3 linked regions of the Nothobranchius furzeri genome follow. The protein of the gene in region 3 interacts with the protein of the main gene of each other region in a pairwise test. Links are inferred from orthologs where the notes say so. Each region holds a gene or a part of one and is shown on either strand. Other genes may lie near its edges. The genes, in order: gnaz, gnao1b and rgs19.

Evidence for each region.
Region 1: the proteins of rgs19 (region 3) and gnaz interact in a two-hybrid assay, tested with the Homo sapiens proteins (2 studies listed by BioGRID). The link is inferred for Nothobranchius furzeri from reciprocal best matches to the Homo sapiens genes RGS19 and GNAZ.
Region 2: the proteins of rgs19 (region 3) and gnao1b interact in a two-hybrid assay, tested with the Homo sapiens proteins (2 studies listed by BioGRID). The link is inferred for Nothobranchius furzeri from reciprocal best matches to the Homo sapiens genes RGS19 and GNAO1.

Annotation. Positions count from the first base shown.
Region 1 is NC_091746.1:50,897,163-50,900,817, reverse strand, and holds part of gnaz (guanine nucleotide-binding protein G(z) subunit alpha), read left to right. Parts: 5' UTR 1-16; coding exon 17-739; intron 740-3,655. UniProt on the Homo sapiens protein: Guanine nucleotide-binding proteins (G proteins) are involved as modulators or transducers in various transmembrane signaling systems.
Region 2 is NC_091749.1:60,166,321-60,170,075, reverse strand, and holds the start of gnao1b (guanine nucleotide binding protein (G protein), alpha activating activity polypeptide O, b), read right to left. Parts: upstream 2,900-3,755; 5' UTR 2,750-2,899; coding exon 2,632-2,749; intron 2,517-2,631; coding exon 2,474-2,516; intron 539-2,473; coding exon 397-538; intron 187-396; coding exon 26-186; intron 1-25. UniProt on the Homo sapiens protein: Guanine nucleotide-binding proteins (G proteins) function as transducers downstream of G protein-coupled receptors (GPCRs) in numerous signaling cascades.
Region 3 is NC_091755.1:43,015,905-43,019,659, forward strand, and holds the start of rgs19 (regulator of G-protein signaling 19), read right to left. Parts: upstream 2,887-3,755; 5' UTR 2,677-2,886; coding exon 2,620-2,676; intron 1-2,619. UniProt on the Homo sapiens protein: Inhibits signal transduction by increasing the GTPase activity of G protein alpha subunits thereby driving them into their inactive GDP-bound form. Binds to G-alpha subfamily 1 members, with the order G(i)a3 > G(i)a1 > G(o)a >> G(z)a/G(i)a2.

The sequences.
Region 1 (3,655 bases), on a different chromosome or scaffold from region 3:
CACGTGGTGGAGGACCATGGGGTGCCGCCAGAGCTCGGAGGAGAAGGAAGCAGCGCGGCGCTCGAGGCGAATCGACCGCCACTTGCGCTCGGAAAGTCAGCGGCAGCGGCGCGAAATCAAGTTACTGTTGCTGGGTACCAGCAACTCGGGCAAGAGCACCATTGTCAAGCAGATGAAGATCATCCACAGTGGTGGCTTCAACCTAGAGGCCTGCAAGGAGTACAAGCCTCTGATTTTGTACAATGCCATTGACTCACTGACCCGCATCATCCGTGCCCTCACCACCCTTAAGATAGACTTTCACAACCCTGACCGCGCCTACGATGCCGTGCAGCTCTTTGCCCTCACAGGTCCAGCAGAGAGCAAAGGAGAGATCACCCCAGAGCTGCTGGGGGTGATGAAGCGTCTGTGGGCGGACGCTGGGGTCCAGGAGTGCTTTCAGAGGTCCAATGAATACCACTTAGAGGACAACACGGCCTACTACCTGAACGACCTGGACCGCATATCTGCGCTCGAGTACATCCCCACTGTAGAGGACATCCTGCGCTCCCGCGACATGACCACAGGCATTGTGGAAAACAAGTTCACCTTTAAGGAGCTCACCTTCAAGATGGTGGATGTGGGTGGACAGCGTTCGGAGAGGAAGAAGTGGATTCACTGTTTTGAGGGCGTGACTGCAATCATTTTCTGTGTTGAGCTAAGTGGCTATGACCTCAAGCTCTACGAGGACAACCAGACGGTAAGACTAATCTCTTTAAAGGACCCGGTTCTACACACACACACACACACACACACACACGCGCGCACACACACACACACACACACACACACACACACACACACACACACACACACACACACACACACACACTTACTTGTTAATTGGCTTTGTGTTTCATCTTATGTAAGTTAATTATTGATGAAATCATAAATATAGTGGTCATGATTCTCAGTCAACCAGATGAAGATAATTTTGTTTTTAGTTACAAAACCATTCGCCGGCTTTTTGGCAGACACAGCCGAGATGGAAATTTTCAGAAATAAACAAGTACTGTTTGGAACAAAAGATTTATGTCTTCCGAGAAACAACAAAAGTTTGTTCTGCTGTGTCATTTCCTCCCTGTAGATCCCCTACTACACTAAAAAACAAAATACCCCGGAACACAAGCAGGTCTAACTCAGACTATCTGAGTTTACATAATGGCAGATTTATGTTCGAAGTTAGTTTATCTTACTTTTTGAATCCTTTTTTATTTTACAAGATGATTTTTTATCTAATGACTGTAAGTACAAAAAGAAATGTGTTGTTTTATATGTAATACATATTTAATATGTATTATACGTGATATTAAGTTAAAGAAATTGGGGAAAAAATCTATGTAATCTTTATAAAACAACAAAAATATGAAAACTGGCTCATTTGCTTTACATTGGAACAAGTTCTTTGTTTCCAAAAGATGTTGTGTGTTGAGTTTCCTTGCCTTTGAACCATGATGCCTCTAGTTATTACAGCAAACATGCAGCCACAGTAGATCTGTGGTAATGGAGTATTTCATTACTAGTTAGCCCCATCAACTAATTCATTGTTTTTTACTAGACAGCTAAATGTTAAATTGAAGCTGGAACAAAAAACATCTGCCCAGTTTTAAGTCTTATTCCCTCAATGTAAACAAATGGAACGTTGTTCTTTTTAAAAAGTAAAAAAGTGGCCAACTTAGTGACTTTTTACTATATTTAGAAAGCCACTAGGGAGAAATCTAGCTACTGTCTTATTATTGGAGAATCATGTCAACTTAAATTAATGCTTTCTTTCAACTCTAAACGTCAAGTTGTACAAATATGATAAATAATAACTATGCATTGTTATAATATTATATTGTGAGTTGAAACAACAAATCTTGTTAGATAACCAAGTGGAAAAACATTTTGTCTTGTTAAACATACCCACAGTTCTACTTTATCTTAACTTATAAATTTAAGTTAGACATTGATGGTTGTCCATTCAAATTACAAGTTAATGTTAACTGGACAAATAGAATAATTGTTTGAACTCGTGTTACCAGCTGTCATGCCAGCAGGGACCTAAAGTCTCCTCCCTTTCCGGTCGGCTCATGGGACCCCGGAAGAATGAAAAAAATCAATGCAAGTCAACGGGGCTAAAAACGCCATTTTCTAATCTGCTTTGCTTTAGACCCTGGATTGCACATATGTTGTACTGCAATTTAAATGAAAACTAATGATGGGTGTTTCCATCACACCTGTCACGTACTTTGAGATTTATCAGTTTGTAAAAGTTCATAATTAGCATGACTACAAACCAAACATCGTCACTTCGCATATGTGACGTCACCACACAATATCTTCTCCTCTAGCGTAACTGCTACTTACCAAATGTCCAGATTTATGGTGGTTCTTTCCTCCTGAAGGAAGGATTTGAAGTTCACTGAACTTACAGCCATTTTCCCTCTGTTTTTCTCCATGTCTGGTTCAATGACGTCACTTCCAGGAAGCGTAATTGTAGTCCCGGACTTATTTTCATACAAAACCTAAAATAGCTTTTCCTCCAGTGCAAAAATAAGCACTTTATTGGTATCAAAATGCATTTTTTAAATTCACGGACAACATATGTGAAATCCATAGAACATAACAAGCGGAATCAGAAATAATGTTTTTAGCCCCATTGACTTGCATTCATTTTTTCATTTTTCAGGGGACCCATGGTCCGGAAGTTGATGGGCATGACTTAGGCTGGCCATACAGGCAAAGGGTGATGCAGGAAGCTAACAGCAACACTGTGTTTCTCAATGTCAAGGTGCCTGGCCACCAGGCACCTTGCTTACAAGGACACTGTACTTCCTTGGTCAAAGAAAACGGTTAAATGGAACAGGCGTTCATCATGTGACTGTGGCTTCCAGGGCAGGCACATAACATTACGTGATATGGGAGATGACATTATATTTTAATCGTATAAGCTTCAATATAAATATGTCAAGCCAATTACTCTTTAAATTGTTTATATATTTGTGAAATTAAATATATATGTGAGTTACTACCCGCTAGCCACCAAAGCTGCAACTAGTAAGCAACTAACCAACCATAGATAACTTCTTTGGATCTAAAAAAAACCTTTTAAATTAGTTGACTTACTTTTAAACTTGAAATTTGCCTCCGAAGCTGCTGGCTTCTGATCTGCCATCCTTTTGAAAATAGTGCAGTGTAATTTGGGAAAATTTTGACCCAGGCTAGGCTACAAGACACCTCCTGAGTATCCTTGCTCAGCTAGCTAAACGGCTAACAATTGAAGAACACATGCCTCGATAGAACATGAACATTGGAACACGTCTTCGCAGCTCCTGATGACGTATCTCCTAGGTAACCGGGGTGGGGCCAAGACATCAAGGCGAGGTTCCTTGGCTTTGAGAATCACCCAGTGAAAAGTGCTGGCTAACTCGTGCCTCATACACCACATGACTGCAGTGGGAGTGGAACACAAGGAGAAGACTCTTGAGCATTTTGTGTGAACCACCCCTTTATTTAATGCAGTGAAGTGGAATGGCACAACGTTCTTATTCCTACAACCTCCTTCCTCACTTATGATGCCAACATGACAACAACAAATAACTCCACATTTGGAACATGGAACAAAGCAATAACT
Region 2 (3,755 bases), on a different chromosome or scaffold from region 3:
TAGGAGGTGTTTTTGCTGTACTCACTATTGAGCAGAGTCATTAAGCTGGTATTCTCGGGCACGGTTGAAGCACTCCTGAGTCCCGGCGTCGGCCCATAAACGCTTCATAGCAGCGAGAAGCTCTGCGGAGTACGGCTCCGTGTCCTCCATACGACTGACGACATCACAGACCAGCTTGGCATCGGCCTGGATGAAACATGTTTCATAAGTTCAGAGGAGCAGAAGAAAAAATGTCTGCTTGTTAATTATTTACCAGCAGCTCAAACGACTTTCTGGGATGATTTGCAGTCATTTCTTTACTGTCACAGGTCAAATATTCCCAGAAAATGTTTTTTTATCTTTAGGAAAAGCAAAGCTAATCTTTAGAAAACTTGGTAGGATATGAGTGAGACTAACTTTCCGGTCCTTGTCTCCAAACTCAATCCCGAGGGAATCCATGGCTCGGAGGATGGCTGCCAAGCTCTGGATGGTGTTGCTGTAGACCACTGGCTTATACTGCTTCACATCATCCCCAGAAAAGCCATCTTCATGGATAATCCTGCATGCGTACGGAGATATTATCAAAGCCTGGACCGAGCAGGAAAAAAGTTGCAAATGTCCATATGTTCCTGCGTTACAAAACAGCTATCTTGTTACAATAAAAGCCCCAGGTTTTTATGAAACTCAGTAGGCCTGCGTGTGTGTGTGTGTGTGTGTGTGTGTAGTGATTATTTTATTATGTTTGTTCTCATCCTCTCCCCATGTTTCTCTCATCTAAGCATGAGCCTAACGGGAAATGGTCATATTCTCTCTCTGCGATGTGTAACCGGGCAGTAATGTGATATTTCAGTCATTTATAATTCATGAACTGAAATCAATCAGACCACTGATCAATCACGGCTCCACAACTCTGGACTGTTAAACTTCTTACAGCATTAAAGCATCCATCAGCGGCACATCTTCACCCTGACCAGATCTATAAAACATCCTCCAGAAGCCCACTCCCACAGCTACTTCATTCTCACCGCCGTACAGCAAGGAGGGGTGGGGTTAAAAGAAAAGATGTGGGATGATTGTTTTCATCTCATCAGGGCACATTATGAAAAGATGTTTCACAGCCGACTACAGCCACCTGGCCTGAATCTCCAGCACCATCATCACAATTAACAGTTTTATGAAATACAATAAATTGACCCTCAGGGGAGGGGGGGTGGGGATGAGCTGAGGCTGAAGCTTTATGGAGCAAACAGATGAATATTATCAACTTGAACATTTGGAAAGACTAAATGCTAATAATAATAATAATTATTATTATTATTATTATTATTATTATTGTTGTTGTTATTGGTTTTAAAGAATAACTTATCAGCAGTAGTTAAAAAATAAACCGCTGATGTTTCTACAGCAGCCTACTTGAGTAATTATTAAAATCTACAACGCCCTTTAAATTGTTCTTGAAGTCAACTCGTCCCTGTTAGTTTGGACATGACTCCACCGTCTCGCTCATGGGCCAAACCAGAGAAGCTCGTCTGGATGTGAAGATGATGGTGATGAGGATGAGGCAAAGAATCACAGCAAAGCCCAGTGCATGAACCCTCCGATACCTAGACTTTATGACCCAGAGCATGTAGTAAAACCCATCCATCTGCTGCTGGCCCGTGGCTAAAGCAAGCCCGGAGAGTATTTGTAAACACTATTTGGACCAGCATCTTGGTTCGGAGCAGAGCAGTAAGTTATGGACAACCAGGGAGCTCTGGGAGGGTAATGAAGAGGAAAAAGGGAGGGTGCAGTGAGTCGATGCAGAGTGCAGAGCAGAGCAGGAAGGAGGAGACACTCAGATGCTGCTCACAAAAGAGCTGCTGCATGGTTGACGGGACAAAATGTGAAAGAGCTCTGGTTTTTTGTGCAGAAACATCTAGAAACTTGACTAAGAGGTTTACATGAAACAAAAGCAGTCGTTTAAAACACCAAAGAGTCATTTAGCTCAGACACGAAAAGGTTTAGATGCGGTTTTAGGAGCCATATTTCTGCGTAAATCCGCTTTATAGGCAAAGTACTCCCGGCGATATCAGGCACTTAAAGCCATTAAGATTAAAAGCAGAGGTATTCACTAATGGAACAGCAGTGACCTCACTGTAATTCACACACGCACGCGCGCACACACACTGCACACACACACACACAGACACAGACACACACACGTCCCCAGTGGCACACTCCCCGTAGTCAAGCAAAACCTTCGTTAACTACATTTCAGCACCCCGGCAGTGAACAGCACCCTGGGACGCACCGGCGGCCTCCGCAGCCCTGCTGACGGTCTGCAGGAGGTGCTCGAGTCACCGGTGCTCCTCCGGGGCTTCGGCCTCTCGGAAACATGGCGGCTCAACCTGCCTTAGTGCTGACAGGGGAGGCGCAATCTCAGGCCTTTCACTCCGGCTGAGTTGGAGAATACCGATATGATATAAATAAATAAACAAATCAGGCTGACACTTACTTCATTTGTTTGACGATGGTACTTTTCCCGGATTCTCCGCCGCCTGCAAAGAACGGAGGGCAGAGAGAGAGCAGGCATTGAAATCAGTACCACGGAGAGCACCTCCGCCCCACGCAGTCCCAGCAGCAGCCCCGCGGCCGCGCCGCCGCTTCCCTTACCGAGCAGGAGCAGTTTGACGTCCTTGGCGGCGACCAGCCCGTCCTCCTTCAGGTTCTTCTCGATGGCCTTGCTCCGGTCCAGAGCTGCGCGCTCCTCGGCGCTCAGTGTACACCCCATGTTTCCAGGCGAATGAGCGGTCCCGTCGAGTCCCCAGTCCGCCCTGTCCCTCTCCTGCTCTCGGTCGCCGCGGTGTCTCTCAGTCTCGCTCTCCTCCCGCGCTGTCTGCTACAGCATAGGCCCGGATTCGGAGCGGAAAATAGAGCCGGGATCCCGAAACAGTCTTCTCTCCGTGAATGTGCACTCTCCGTTCCGTCCCCTCTCTCAGAGGGGGGTGGGGGGGTGGGGTCGCTGTGCGCTAGCCTGCAGGGTTGGGGTTGTTGTTAGGCGGGGAGAGCGGGGGGGTCTCGAGCTCTATCTCTCTACAGGGCGGCGCTGGTGATGATGACAGAGAGCACGAGCGATTTCACCGTATACTTTCACGAAGGCTGGCAGGAGGTGGTATGGCAGGCTGTTACCGCATATAATCAACAACGTTTTACATGTCTCCTGTTCAGAAATAGGTCGATTTAAATTACATTTTTGAAAATTCTGATTTAAGGTGGGTTGGTGTGTAATCGGTCACATGGCATCGTATCGAATTTAAAATATATTGCGAGCTTAAAAGAGTTTTAATCATAAGATGGATATGTAAGGCATCGATTGTTCAATTATTTTAGCGGAAATATACATTGCAAGTTTCTAAAAAGGCCGTTTTTATGCTCAGTGAAAATCTGACATATGTCAGTCATTCCTTCTTAAATTATTGAACGCTTCCCACTAGTGTTGTGGGCTTTCTTTTATACACAGATCTAGGCTACATGGTAAAACAATACGAAAACACATTTTATTTAACATTTCTGCTAAAAATTCCAATTCACACGTTTTATACAAACGGTAAGTCAAATATTCCTACCGCTAAAATTAGCTAAATTTGGTCATTTTGCATCAGAAACATTAAGGAAATAAAATTTTCAACAAAAATGCTTCCTAAAAAAACTTTGTCCAAATGTAAAAAAAATATCAAACTTACATTATAAATGAGAAATCATTACAATAGTTTTAATCGCACACACAAGAATTAACT
Region 3 (3,755 bases):
CCCTCCTTTTCTGCTACGCTAATAATATTTTGGTAACAGGGTTGAACATATGTTGTGGGACACAAATCCCATGCATTTTTAGTAGAGCTGCACAATATATCGCAAATATATCATTATCTCGATGTCAGCATGCGCAACACGCATATCGCAAAGAACAGATAAACATCGCAATTAGAGCTGAAACAACTAATCGATTTAATCGATTATAATCGATTATTAAAATTGTTAACAACTTTTTTAGTCATCGATTAGTTGTTTACTAATCACATTTTACCGCATAAAGTCTTTTTTTACCACAATCTGACATCTGTTACAATCTGTTAAATTTGCCGCCAGTGTGTGGCAGTAATGAGCCACTGATCTACCAGTGGAGCCGTAGAAGAAGAAATGAGCCAATAAGTGCCCTCGGTTTTCACGACGCATCACGTTACTGACGCTCATCTTGCTGTGAGAGATGGCGGAACAAGAAGAAATACGGAAGAAAAATAGAAGCGACAAAACTGAAGAGAAACCCCGGACAAAAACCTCACAAGTATGGGAGCACTTCACTCTAGATGCCTTGAAAAGACGGGTGACCTGCAAAATATGCAAAAACCATCTAGCATGGCACGGAAGCACGACGTCCCAAAGTGAACATTTGAGACGAAAACATGTGGGGGCTGATGCAGCAGAGGAAAGTCCGGTAAATCCGGTAAGTAACAGAAAATAAACAAGCTAACGCAGATCAAATTTGGGAGCTGAGTTCGTTATAGTGGATGTTAAACATGTTTTTTTGCCGCGTCAGTCTACGGTGTTCTACTTCTGATTGGCTAGATGCAATCGTGAATCTCCTCCGTGTTGTGTATCATGCACTTGCCAAATTTAGCACATCTGTTTATAAGAATGTTCTCGTTAAGATAAAAACGGCACAAACCCATAACTATGTTCCTCATTCAAAAAAGGACAACTCCGCGGAGAAAAATATACAGACGAGCTGTGTCCAGGTGAATATAACGCGGCATAGTTGTACGCTTTCAATTTTTAAATACAGGAGAAATTCAGAAAGTCCTTTTTTACTATTAAAAGGCTGTTTTACTATCCAACGCTGTAAAACGCCTCACAACACATTTTTGTCAAAATAAATGATCACTGTATATTGTTAATTAATTCAAATAATGTAATATTGATTGAGTGTTGTAGTGTGTGTGCTGCTTTATTTTATATGTGTACTTATTTCAGTCTATTTGTGTTTCTTATGCAGAAAAAAACAAGCAATGATGGACAACTACATGGGGAACAAGACACTCACCCCCCAGCAATGCATACCACTTACAAACTCTATTCTAGATTCTACATTATTTTTATGGAATTTACCTCTCATATTTTGATGCCAAAAAATTATTCTTTTACAACGCTGACTGTGTTCATGTGCAATAAAATAGATTGCAGTCAACTGCACAATTCTCTTATGTTTTTCTTTTTCTTAACTGAAATGTATTCATCACTTGTATAGGTTAAATAGCTAAACAATAACAAACCGATTAATCGAAAAAATAATCGACAGATTAATCGATTATGAAAATAATCATTAGTTGCAGCCCTAATCGCAATGAATGGCCAGCTCAGATGTTTGCTACGCATAATGGATTCTATCAAAAGGAAGCATGATGTTTCTTTAACAAATCAACAAGGAGCTCTTCACCCATTTGGCCAATTGGGTGGGTTCTCTTGGGTTAGAGTCCCGCCCCCGAGGCGGACGACACTTAATTTTGACAGTAAACACCTGAGCTAGCGTTGTTCTGCTCTTTCTGCTGATTCTGCTTTTCCCGGGATCCACTGATTCCCTTTTCTTGTTCGTTTTTCCCCCCTTTCCTCACATCTTTTGCTTTTCTAATTTTTATGAATTTTTTCTTCTTTGTTTTTGATTATTTTTGTTCCTGAGTTAAGTTTTAATTTATCGCAAGTAATATCGTCATCGCAATATTAATCATTGTTTTAGTGTTATTTAAATGCGTTGATGATCATAGTAATAGTTTTAACAATTACTACAAACACATGTAAACAAAATGAGGCAAAAAAGTATATTTAAAACGTATTTTAACCATTTTATTTGACATCGGTGGGACAAGAGAAAAACAGCATTTTAGGGAGCTTTGACATTTGCATTTTCAAAGTTATTTAGAAACATATTTTACAGTTGTTTTAAAGAAAAACAATAATTTAGAAGGTAAATATGTGTTTTAGGGTTTTGTGCATGGATTGTTTGATTATAGTGGGTGGGACAGAAAATGTCCCTGAATTCTGGAATGACCCAGGTGCCACGAGCCAGAGGCCCGGGAACAGGTGACTCCTCAGCAGGCATAAAACAAAGGTAACCGCTACTTTTCTGCTCAGGGGGGCAGAAACGCCCCCGTTCGACTCTACGTCACGAAGAAAACCGAATCAGTGAGGCGGAAAACGGCGAACCGGAGGGTTCGCTCGCTCCGTTCACCGCTCGCAAAGAGAAAGGAGGCGAAAAAAAGAAACGAAAGGGCACTCCGGCGGAGGAAGGAGGCAAGAGAGGGGAGGAGGAAAGGAACCAAGGAGACCTGAAACCAGCTCCCCTCCCAACTTCCAGCCCGCTCAGCAGCAGATACTCACAATCTGGGCATGAGGACGGTTCGGAGGGCGGGATCCGCTGCGCTGTCGGAGACACATCTGTGAGACGGCTTTCTGCCCTGCTGTCCCGCACCGGGGAACCGGGGCACGTGCCCCTGGAGTCCTATCTTCTTTATTTACCTTCCTGTGTCGATGTGTCTGAAGGAGTCCTCCTCCTCCTTCCGCCGCTCTCCTCCTGCTCGGATTTTCCCAGCGAGCGCGAGCGCGCGCGCGCGAGAGAGAGAGAGAGAGAGAGAGAGAGAGAGAGAGAGAGAGAGAGAGAGAGAGAGAGAGAGAGAGAGAGAGAGAGAGAGAGAGAGAGAGAGAGAGAGAGAGAGAGAGAGAGAGAGAGAGAGAGAGAGAGAGAGAGAGAGAGAGAGAGAGAGAGAGAGAGAGAGAGAGAGAGAGAGAGAGAGAGAGAGATCACCACCCTGGCGGGCACGGTCCACACAGCGCATGCGCGGAGCCACATGTTCGTTCATGCAGAAAACCCGGAGTACCTGGAGTATTTTCTGCTACACACTAAAAGGGGGTTAAAAATAAACCACAAGCTTAGGCAATGAATTATACATTTGTTATATTTTATATTTATATATATATATATATATATATATATATATATATATATATACACACATACACATACTCAAATATTTTTTGGACCGTCTGCAGTGTCACAAGTTTTATTTCCATCCAGTGTTGCCTTCATTTTTAAGTACTTCTAATAGATTAGAAATCCCTCAGTGGCATGGGGCAGAATACATGTCCGAACTCCTTCAGGTGTCTACGCCCAGCAGGGCTCTGAGATCCTTAGGAAACAGTCAGCTGGTAGAACCTTGGGTCAGTGATGATGATTTTAGCTACTATGCTGCAAACGGTTGTGCCCCAGCTCTAGTAGCATTTAAATCCAAAATCAAATTTAAAAAGCCTGTTTGCTATTAGAACTGTCCATAGGCTCATCTATTGGCTTTGCTGATTCTTGCTAATGTGTGACTGGCCATTCCTGCCACCTGTGTACTTGACAGTTCTGGATTCCTGACATTGCATATAAGAACCTCTAGGCTGTAGTTTATACATATTTTTTGTATACTTACTGTAAAGTCCCCCCGTCATCATGCCGTCTATGCAGACAAATTAAA